Ovis aries: one gene and its partner. The protein of the gene in region 1 interacts with the protein of each later gene in a pairwise test. Links are inferred from orthologs where the notes say so. Each region holds a gene or a part of one and is shown in the gene's direction. Other genes may lie near its edges.

Region 1 (5,204 bases):
TGTCTGCCTTTCCTGGAGATTCTCTGGTCTGTCTTTCCTTAGAGCCTGGAAGGAGCAGAGAGTCGCACAGGGAAGAGGGTTCTGGAATAGGAAGCTTGCCCTCTGAAAACCAGGGTTAACGTCTGACTACATGTGACTGGGGGATGAGCCAGCTCTAATTCGGTTCTCTAAGCTGGGAAGTGAGGGCCACTGGCTGTTACAGCTCCCCCTGCCCCAGAGCCCGTATTCTCAGATTCTGTAAGGATTTACCTGTGTCCACCTAAGAACCCCACCCGAAGACACACTGCCGTCACTCTTCCCCAGCTTTGCCTCTTGTTCCCTTCAGACTCCACAGCTTGTTCCCCCATCTATTTGTTTGTTTCCGTCTATAGGCTTGGCCGCCACCTCCCTCGGAGTCACACCCTCCACCCTGGTCCCTGCTGGGGAGATTGAGAGCCCTTTGGGCAGGCCTTGGTGGGGGTGCCAGTCTGCTGCGGGTAGGGGCACCAGCCCACCCTCCCTCCAGCCTCACTTTCCAGCAGCTCACAGGAAATTCACAGTCGTAGGAACTCCACAGAGGGGAAGGGCTCCTGCGATGCTGAAGGAAGGTGTTAAAATGCAGGGAGTGGGGAATTGCCTGGAGGTCCAGTGGTTAAGACTCTGCACTTCCACTGTGGAGAGCACCGGTTCTATCCTCAGTCTGGTAACTTAAGATCCCACATACTGCGGCCAAAAAAAATTATAGGAAAGAAATGCAAGGCATGAGCTCTGTTCTCCAGGAAGAAGGAGGCTGATTTCTTACCTTTGTGCCTCCAGCAGAGAACTTCAGCATCCTTTATGCAAAATGAGCTCTTGCCCTCAGGTAGGTTTTCATCCCACCAATAGCAACAGATCCCACAGTTAAAACTTGGATGCTGTCAGCAGTGGAACCAGAGGAGGGTTAGACTTGGACCTCAGAGTGCTTCCCAGGAATGGGAGAGAAAATTGGCTGCTGAGAGCCTTTGCTTCCTGCTCCATCCTCATTTCTGCAGCAACTGCTACGGTCCTTCCTTTTCTCTCGAAGCAAGAAGTATCAAAGAGGAAGAGCTGGTCACTGTCAAAAATGATTTACATTGACTGAAGGAAGGAGAGTCTGTGTTTTGTGTGATATCTTTCTTCATTTTATTCAGGAAAGCTTGAAGGTTTGGGGCTGCAAGTTAATGTACTTGTGATGTTCGATGCCTGTGTTATCTTGAAGTCCTGTAGAAGTGACTGCCCGGTGTACCAGCCCGCCCCGAAGGACTTTCTCAGAACTTTCCTTTTAGGGTCTCAGGCTGCTGGGAGGGAAGCCTGAATACCAGGAAGATCAGGCACCTGGGTGACCTGCAGGGAGACTGTCCATGACCCCCTATCAAGCTGCTTAGCTCTCTGGAGCCCCATCCCCATGTTCAGAGGACCACCCATCTCAGCCGCTGGTGTGGCTAATGCAGAAATGGTCATGGCATCCTGGGTTCATCGTATTGTTGGGTAGCAGTTGTGTTGACACAGAAACAGAGTCTTGGAGGAAGGAAAGTCGACAGGGTTGGTGGAGAGCTTCGTAGGGGACCAGCCAGAGCAGTGTTGACTGTTGTCAGTTTTTGCCTTGTTAACCTGATGCAAAGAGTGAACTCATTGGAAAAGACCCTGATGCTGGGAAAGACTGAGGGCAGGAGGAGGAAGGGGCAACAGAGGATGCGATGGTTGGTTGGCATCACCACCTCAATGGACATGACTTTGAGCAAACTCCAGGAGATGGCGAAGGACGGGGAAGCCTGGCGTGCTGCAGTCCGTGGGTTCGCAAAGAGTCTGCATCCCTGCTGGACGCTCCATCCCTGGTGCGCGTTCCTCTGTGCCCCTCACCTGTCTTGAGCAAATGCTCACTCGTACCTCATTTCAGAGAAACCTCAGGAATTTGTTCAGATTCCAAGACTTCCACTTTGTGATGAACGATTAGAGCTTCATTTGGACATCTCAACTGATCCTCCCTCTGTGAGCGTCTCCTGAGTCTTACATTACAAATGGGGAAACCAAGGACAGAGAAGGAGAATAACTCAGTGGTGCCCACAGGTCTGGTCGTGGGGACAGCAGATACCACCTCCCTCTGTCCCTCTTCACTCATTCTGAGTGGTATTTCGTATCTGCTCTCAGCGCTCGGTCCAGATGTTAATTTTCCTAAAAAGCTGTGGTTTAACAGTGTACGGTGGCCGAGAGATACAAAAGGAAAATGTGGGGGCATGGAAACTTTCCTGGGAGTTCCAACTTTATTTTAGATCTTTGGAAAATAGAGATAATGCTTGTGTGCTTGGCAGACTGCAACCTCTGGGCAGTGAAAATTGCGTGGTGGAGCAAACACAAGGGGAACATACATGAAACTCTGAAAAGACCCAGGCAGAGTGGAGTTCACATAGTTTCCATACGTTTACGAGAGTGCCAGGAAACCAGTCTTGATGAGTAGAGAGGTCGGGAGATGCTGAGTTGGCCAAAAAGTCCATTCAGATTTTTCCACAACATTTTACAGGAAAAGCTGAACGAACCTTTGGCCTACCCAGTATCTGCTGTGAGCAGTTACTTCAGCTCTCGCCCCGGTTGCTAGTGCCAGCCACCGTCCCACCCTGACGACGCCCATGAATTCCTGCTGCGTCAATGTCGCCCAGTTTAGAGGAGCTTCTGCGTGGGGCTGACACACCCTGAATCTTCCCTACCAAATATAGACTGATCTCAAAGCAGTGCTGCAGTTTTTTCTTTTTGCTTTCTCCCAAATTAGACGGCTTAAGTGTCCAGAACGTTGTAAACACTCTGTGTTGTGTTTTTTATGAGAGTTAAAGAAATGGTAAACAAGTGGAGAGGCGAATCTGCTTGTTTCTGAGTACGGTTGCAGTGGCTGGGAGGCTCAGTGTAGTTTAGTCCTTTCGCTTATATCTGCCCTTCAGGTCGTCTAGTTCTGTCACACTGTCTGGAGGGCTCACCTTCCCCTTTTCACACTCACCATGCAGTGGCCCCAAGCAGGAAGCATCCCGCTGGCCCTTGAGTTACCAGGTGCTGCATGGCCGCAAATGGCCCCTCGCCTTGGCCAGCGCTGCCCGGGCTTCTGATGAAATGCACATCCTGAGATGCAGCTGGTTCGGAGAGGGCTGAGAATCGCATTTCTAGCTAGCTTCCAGGTGGTGCGGATGCTGCAGATGCTGCTGGCCTGTGGACCCCGCTTGGAGTGGTTCCCCGGCCACCAGGAAGACGCACCTCCTTCCATGTTGACTTTCTTTCTACTGGAAGCAGAGAAGGACATGGCAGCCCACTCCAGGATTCTTGCCTGGGAGATCCCATGGACAGAGGGGCCTGGCGGGCTGGAGTCCAGGGGGTCGCGAGAGGCGGAAATGACCTGGTGACTACACCACCACCACCTGCTGGCGTGTGGAGTCAGGCGGGCTGGAATCGTGCGTGCTCTCTGTTGATTGCTGTGTCCCGGTGCCCTTGCTAACGGCCCTGGTCTCGATGCTTCTCTCTTCTAGGATTGCCTCAAAGCCTGCCAGGAGCAGATTGAGGTGGTGCTGCTGAACAGCCTGCAGCAGTACCGTCAGGACCAGGGCGACGGATCCAAGTCGGAGGATGAGCTGGACCAAGCCAGCACCCCTACGGATGTTCGGGATATCGACCTGTGAGGATGTGGGGCGGGCCCAATGGGAGGGGTGCGTCCAATCCGCTCTCTCCTTCTCTCTGGTTGTATTTGGTTCTCTTACATTTTAGGATGAAACTTAAAAAAAAAAAAATTCTGCCCCCACCTAGATCCTATTGAAAGATCTTTTAGAAGTGAGAGATAAAGGTCCTATAAAAACAAAATCATTACAAGCATTTGGTGCCTATTTGAAGTACAACAGAAGGGAATCCCTTATATATGCCAAGTTACTGTTTGATGATGTTAAAAGTCATAGTAATATGCTTACAGGAAAACCTGCAGAGTAGCTAGAGAAAAATGTACGCCTGCACTATGGGAACAAATTAGAGACTCTTTTTTTTCATGTTATGAACTAGCACGTATATACCCCTGTTGGATAATTTGGAAGAACTGCGGATGCCACGTATGGCAGGATTGGATTGTGAAGCAATGAACTTGAGAAGGAATTAGGAATCAAGGAGGGACAGGATGGGGAGGGAGTGACAAACGATCTCAGCGCAATCGAACCATTTTGGGTGGAGAAGCGCCTAACTCCCAACCACCTGTTTGTTGCTAAGCAATGCTGGGTCTCTAGTGACAAGTCTTGCTGCCTGCCGTAGCTGCTACCTAAAAGAGATGTTCTGTTTTGCCCGTTGGACACAGGTGATTGGATCCTGGGTTTCATGTTTTTCTATACCTTGCTTCTTCTTCCAAACTCGGTTCGTTGCAGACACCACCCCATTTTTATCTTAAAGGGGCAATCTAGCTATGGGCCATCCCCCAAACTCTGTGAAATGGAGGCAGACGGAGCCCCAGGGTGGGATCTGGAACTTTTTTTTTTTTTCTCCTGAGGTGTTCAAGAGAGTAATGTGACCTTGGCATCCCTCATTAGGAAAAAAAAAAAAACGTGATTTTTTTTTTTGGTGCTGATTGGCATGTCTGGTCCACAGGTGAGCGTTGGTATAAACCATTCCATTCGAAAAGCACTTTGAAAAATTGTTCCCGAGGGGGTAGATGGATTGGTTTATGCAAATCATACAGAGTAGAGGCCTCCTTCCTTCTCCTGTGCCCCCTCCCCTCCTGCCCCCCAATCAGGTTGCTGTCCTGTATCCGATACTCTCTGGGTTCCCCTCCGGGGACTCAAAGACACATCCCCTTCCGCAGAAATCCCTATGACAACATTCCTAAAAGCAGAGATCTGTAACCATTTTGATGGCACACAAGGATCTTAATTCCCACCTCTATACTTCCCCTTTGGACATGGAAAGAAACATGATTGCTGGTGCAAAGACAGACAGCGGGTCATCCGTGTGGCATTTTGTTCCCGTTTCCGTTTTGTTTCTTTTGTTGTTGATTTCATTGCAAAGTTGCATTCAGCGTACTTGAACTTTTTTTTCCTCTCCACGTCTTAGAGGCATTCAGTTAGCAGAGAGGTTGAAGCACCAACTTTTTTTTTTTTTTTTGCACAATTATAATTGACAGGTAATGAAGCTATTAAAATATTTGCCTTTTTAAGTAAAAAAAAAAAAAGATCAGAACAGGGCTACTCTGAAGAATT
Region 2 (5,764 bases), on another chromosome or scaffold:
ATCCTGACTGTGCCACTGGTGAGCTGTGTGACCTTGGGAAACTTACTTAATTTCTCTGAGCCTTGGTTACCTCTTCCGTAAAAGAGCTGATATAGCCATTTCTTCTGAAAATTAATATCCATAAACTTTTTTACAACAGCCCTTGGCTCATAAAATGTGTAAATAAGTCTCAGTCCTTATCCCTGAAGAGAGTGAGCAAAGGTTATTTATGGGCTTTGTCCACTGTGCTGTGTAACCCCTCTCTCTATGTGGTATGTGGCAGCTTGAGTAGACGCTATTGATCTTTTTAACCGTGTGGGTTCAGGGCAAGTCTTAAAACTCCTGCCCTTTAAACTCGGTCAGAGGTCATCTAGTGCCCTCCCCTCCCCTGTGTGCTGAGACTTGGAGCTGTGGGCTTCACTCACTGTGAGAGGTGGAGTGGGGACAGGTAGGTATGGTGTGGGTCCAGGGCTGCTTGCCCCAGGAGGACCCTCAGCAGGGCTTTCACCTTCAGAGCCTGCAAATCAGGACGTGTCCCCAGGAAAACCCAGTCCCTGTTAAAGTCATGCAGGTGCTCAGACCTGGAGTCAAGCCAGAGCCGGGCAGGGAGGTGCCAGCACCCCCTCATGGGCAGGCTCACCTTCAGTGTTCCCTCTCCTTTAGTTTTCCCTCTCCCACTTTAGTGGGAGGAGAGGAGCCAGGTAGACCGGTGCCTTTAATTTTCTTTGCCTGCAAAACGGGTTCCTTGGATGCAGGCAGAATGGGGCAGGGGCTTCCAGGTTGTCTAGACTTCAGGTCACCTGATGTACCTGGCAGGATGTGGCTCAGCCTGGGAGAAATCATTGCTCTGCCCTGCCCTGCCTGGCTCCTCCTTACCCGCAGGCTGCCTGCCTGATGACATCCTTGGGAAAGGCCCTCAGCCCACAACACCTGTCAGCTGCTGTCTGAAGGAGGCGGTGGCCCAGGTGGAGTGATGGGGAGGAGTCAGCCAGAACTAAAGGCAGAGAGAAATAATATTCTCCAAACACTTTCTCTGTACTTGGTACGGCTCAGAGGGCGTTATCTACAACCGCTTAGCGAATTCTCACATCTGGCCTCTGAGACAGTCGCTGTTGTTATCTCCTTCTAGAAATGACACCAGAAATAGATGTCCCTTTCATCATAGGCGACTGGAATGTAAAAGTAGGAACTCAGGAGGTACCTGGAGTTACAGGCAAGTTTAGCCTTGGAGTACAAAGTGAAGCAGGGCAAATGGAGTTTTGCCAAGGGAACGCACTAGTTACAGCAAACACCCTCGTCCAACATACACAAGAGACAACTCTACACATGGAAATCTCCATCTTATACAGGAGGAAAACAGAACCCAGAGAAGTTAAGCCACTTGTCGAAGGTTGCCCAGCAGAGCCTGGATTCCAACCCAAGTGGCCTGGTTCCAAAGCCCTCACCTTGAACCACCAAGATACAGCCGTTGAACTCTGCTCCATCTGCCTTGCCTGGCGGGGCCCGCCAATCATTTCCTTGAGCCTGCGTCTACAGCCCCACTCTTTAGACATGTATGCAGTCCCATTTTACAGATGAGGAAACTGAGGCCGGGGGACTTGAAGTGACTCTTTGAAAGTTGAGGTAGGAAGTGGCAGAGCGAGGACTAGAACCCAGGTGCTTTTAACCCCAAAATCCAGAGTAGTTTTAAGTCACTGAGCAGGATTACTCCACATGAGCATCTAGATGGAGGGATTTGAGAGGAGGCATCCATTTTCTTGGGAATTGACCTCCCCGGCCAGGCCTGGAGTTAGGAAACTGCTGGACTCTGACAATTCACACATACCTGGGGGCATTCACACCCATGAGGGACACCTCAGTGGGAAAAACAAATTGATTTTAGCTGATAACACCCAGTGGTAAACAGGACCCTGATCCCTGCTATTGCAATAAACTTGCCTTTGTTGACATAAACTTGCCCTTCAGCTGCCCACTCCCCCAGTGACCTGGGGGTGTCAGGCTGACTGACTCTGCCCCTCACACCCTTTCTGTGGGTGGAGGTTGGGAGAGCCTGTGGGAGGAACCCGAGAGCCCCTCTCACCTCACTTTCTAGTAAGGAGACTGCGCCTGAGGTTACGCAGTGGCATGGCCCAGAGAGGGAGCGTCCGACTTCCTGAGTGTCTCACGTGCCCCGGGTCTTCCTTGTGTTCCAGCCACAGGTGCCATGTCTGAGCCGTCCAGGGACGCGCATCAGATCCCCCGCAGCAGCAAGGCCTGCCGCTGCCTCTTTGGTCCAGTGGACAGCGAGCAGCTGCGCCAGGACTGCGACGCCCTCATGGCCAGCTGCGTGCAGGAGGCCCGAGAGCGATGGAACTTCGACTTTGTCACCGAGACGCCCCTGGAGGGGGACTTTGCCTGGGAGCGTGTGAGGGGCCTCGGCCTGCCCAAGCTCTACCTGCCCGTGGGGCCCCGAGACGATGTGGGAGGGGGCAAGCGGCCGAGCCCCTCATCCGCCCTGCTGCAGGGCACGTCTCAGGAGGACCACTTGGACCTGTCGCTGTCCTGCACCCTCGTGACTCGCTCCCCTGAGCGGCCCGAGGGGACCCCTGGTGGGCCTGGTCCCTCCCAGGGCCGGAAACGGCGCCAGACCAGCATGACAGGTGAGGACGGGAGCAGAGGTGGCGGCAAGGGATTAGGACTCCCAGAACTCACTGTGCCAGGGCTGACCTGTCTGGCCCAGCTTACTCATCGCTCTGAGGGGTGGGAAACAGGCCCAGAGAGGGGAAGTGGCTTGCCTGAGGTCACACAGCAAGTCTACTACCAAGACCAATTAGCTGACATTTATTTGGAACATTGACTATGTGCCAGGACCTTTGATAAGTGTCTAGATTTCTTTTAGTCCTTATAGTGATCTAATATCATAGGACATTCTTGGCATCCTTTTACAGGCAAAGGAACAGGACTCTGAGAGGTAGAATGGTTTGCCTTAGGTCCCACACTGAATTTACCATGGAGAGTAAATGAATGATAATTTCCTGGCTGCCTTATCCAAACCTAACTCGCCTTCCCCTTCATACATACACACCTTCACCTGCACTTCCTAGCCTATTTTTCTCTTTTTGGCACTTTTTAAACTATCAACAGCTACTTCCATATTTTGATATAGTCCATCTTCCCAAATAGAATCCTATCATCTCCACAAGAAAGAAATCTGTATCTCTCTTGTTCATAATTGAGTCCTCAGCACCTTGGATGGTGTGTGACACATAGTAGGTGCTTGAGGGAAATGGAATAAGTGAGGCTGGCAGTTGAACACTATGCCAGGCCTTCAGCCAACGTCTTTTTATTTTTTACTTTACAAATGTATTACTGTTATTATTTTGGCTGTACGGCTTGTGGGATCTTAATTCCCTGAGCAAGGACAGAACCCAGGCCACCTCTGTTGAGCGCAAGGAGTCTTAGCCACTGGACCACCAGGGAAGTCCCCACCAAGGTCTTTCCGGAAACATTTCATTTAATCCTCTGAGCATCGTACCAGCGTTATCCTCATTTTATAGGTGAGGAAATGGAAGCTTGGAGCAGTGCAGCCAAGAATCCCACAGCACATTTGCAGCTGGGTCAAAACTAACAATAATGATAATAATAATAACTAACCTTTATATGGCTCAGACATCATGCAGAACGCTCTCTGATATATCAGGCTCTGCAAAGAAGCAGATGCCCAGTACCGCTGGCCACATATCACTGCTGAGTGTTTGCCATGAGGAACTAAATTTTTCTATTAGTCTAATGCTAGTTAATTTAAACAGCCGCCTAGGGTTAGCGACCACTGCATTTGGGCAGCTTGGCTTAAAGCAGGCCCATGCATGTAAAGTCTGTTATTGATCACGTCTGTGAAGCGTGGGGGGATGTCCTGTATGTATGTAGCCCTCCGGGAGAGAGGCTAGAAGTTTCCAGAGTTCTTCCCTATACTTGGCAATGTGTCTCTCGGGCCCTGGGGAGGGGTCCCTGGCCCCTCTGCAGGTTGCACTGCGCAGGTGGCTCTGCTGGGCCCTCTTCCTCCTGACCTGGCTGACATCTGTTCTCTCCCCCCAGATTTCTACCACTCCAAACGCAGGCTGATCTGCTCCAAGAGGAAGCCCTAACCCCGCTGCTGGAAGCACGTCCTCGTGGAAACAGGGGCCCACTGCAGGCCTCTTCTGTACCTTTTGCCTTGGTCCTTCAGTTTGTGCGTCTTAATTATTATTTGTGTTTTAATTTAAACGCCTCCTCTTGTACATACCCTGCTTGCTGCCACCCTTCCCACACCCCCAGCCTCTGGAATTATTTAAAAAAGAAAAAAATTAGCAGAAAAAATAGGCTTATTAGATTGCTAGGTATTTTTATTATATGAACCGTTATTTAAACCCTCCTCATTCTTTGCTCGGAGAAGGCAATGGCACCCCACTCCAGCACTCTTGCCTGGAAAATCCCATGGGCGGAGCAGCCTGGTAGGCTGCAGTCCATGGGGTCGCTAAGAGCTGGACACGACTGAGCAACTTCACTTTCACTTTTCACTTTCATGCATTGGAGAAGGAAATGGCAACCCACTCCAGTGTTCTTGCCTGGAAAATCCCATGGGCGGAGCAGCCTGGTAGGCTGCAGTCCATGGGGTCGCTAAGAGCTGGACACGACTGAGCAACTTCACTTTCACTTTTCACTTTCATGCATTGGAGAAGGAAATGGCAACCCACTCCAGTGTTCTTGCCTGGGGAATCCCAGGGACGGGGGAGCCTGGTGGGCTGCCATCTATGGGGTCACACAGAGTCGGACACGACTGAAGTGACTTAGCAGCAGCAGCAGCATCCTTTGCTTTCCTCGTCCTCGCTCCTCTGAGGCTGGCGTGACCCCCATCCTCTGGGTGGCACTCTCTGGAGGGGCCTGGTTCCCTCCCCCCTGCCATCTGATGGGTGTTACGAAGTCTCGCCCCCTCTTTCCTGCATTCTCAGACCTGAATTCCTTACAATCTGAGAAGTAAATAGATAGCACTTTGAAGGGGGCCCAACAGAGTTGGAGGCATCATCAAAACTTTGGGTTCCCCTTGCCCCTCTAAGGTTGGGCAGGGTGACCCTGAAGTGGGCACAGCCTGGAAATGGGGCTGCGGGATTGGACACCCTTCTGGCCCTTGATTCCCACCTCCGTCCTGTGAAGGCATGGGGAAGGTAGGGGCCCGTAGCAAACCACCCCTGCCTCCCACCCCCCCACCCCCATCCTCAGGGGAGCCAATCTCAGTGTTTGGCTTCCCTGTCCCCTGCATTTTTCCAGGAGCCCCAGAGGCCCCTGTTTCCCAGCCAGGCTCTCAGTCCCTCTCTGCTCCTCTCCCTTCCTCCATGCCCTTTCCCTTTAGTATCTTCTCAGCCCTGGGTGGCAGCTCTGAGGGGGTGCCCTAACCCCCAACTCAGTGGACTGGTGGAGGAAAGGACATGCTAGACATAGGGTTCCCCAGTTCTACCTCAAGCAGCGACTGCCCCCTGCTCTTAGCTCTTGGGGTGGGGGGTCCTGGGTGGTCAGGCAGGCCTCCTTGAATGGGGATCTCTCTGTGTTAGGGGTAGGTGGGTGAGGAGCAGATTTTTCCAGGAGGGACAGTGTGACACCAGCCCCTGGAACTCGTCCAAGGACTTTTTCCATTGGCCCCACCCCTTCCCCCATTTCATTGCACTTTGAATAACAGCTGAAGGAGTCAGATGGCGGGAACAGAGGCTGTGGATAGGATATGCTAAGTGGGCAAATATGGGTCTGGGAGCTGTGAGTCATTGTCTTTCCTGGC

Evidence for each region.
Region 2: the proteins of CCND2 (region 1) and CDKN1A interact in binary tests that used the Homo sapiens proteins (3 or more experiments, as listed by UniProt). The link is inferred for Ovis aries from reciprocal best matches to the Homo sapiens genes CCND2 and CDKN1A.

Annotation. Positions count from the first base shown.
Region 1 is NC_056056.1:211,596,724-211,601,927, reverse strand, and holds the end of CCND2 (G1/S-specific cyclin-D2), read left to right. Parts: exon of another isoform or gene 1-2,723; intron 2,724-3,503; coding exon 3,504-3,653; downstream 3,654-5,204. UniProt on the Homo sapiens protein: Regulatory component of the cyclin D2-CDK4 (DC) complex that phosphorylates and inhibits members of the retinoblastoma (RB) protein family including RB1 and regulates the cell-cycle during G(1)/S transition.
Region 2 is NC_056073.1:10,678,894-10,684,657, forward strand, and holds CDKN1A (cyclin-dependent kinase inhibitor 1), read left to right. Parts: upstream 1-2,182; coding exon 2,183-2,618; coding exon of another isoform or gene 2,619-2,815; exon of another isoform or gene 2,816-4,053; coding exon 4,054-4,103; downstream 4,104-5,764. UniProt on the Homo sapiens protein: Plays an important role in controlling cell cycle progression and DNA damage-induced G2 arrest. Involved in p53/TP53 mediated inhibition of cellular proliferation in response to DNA damage.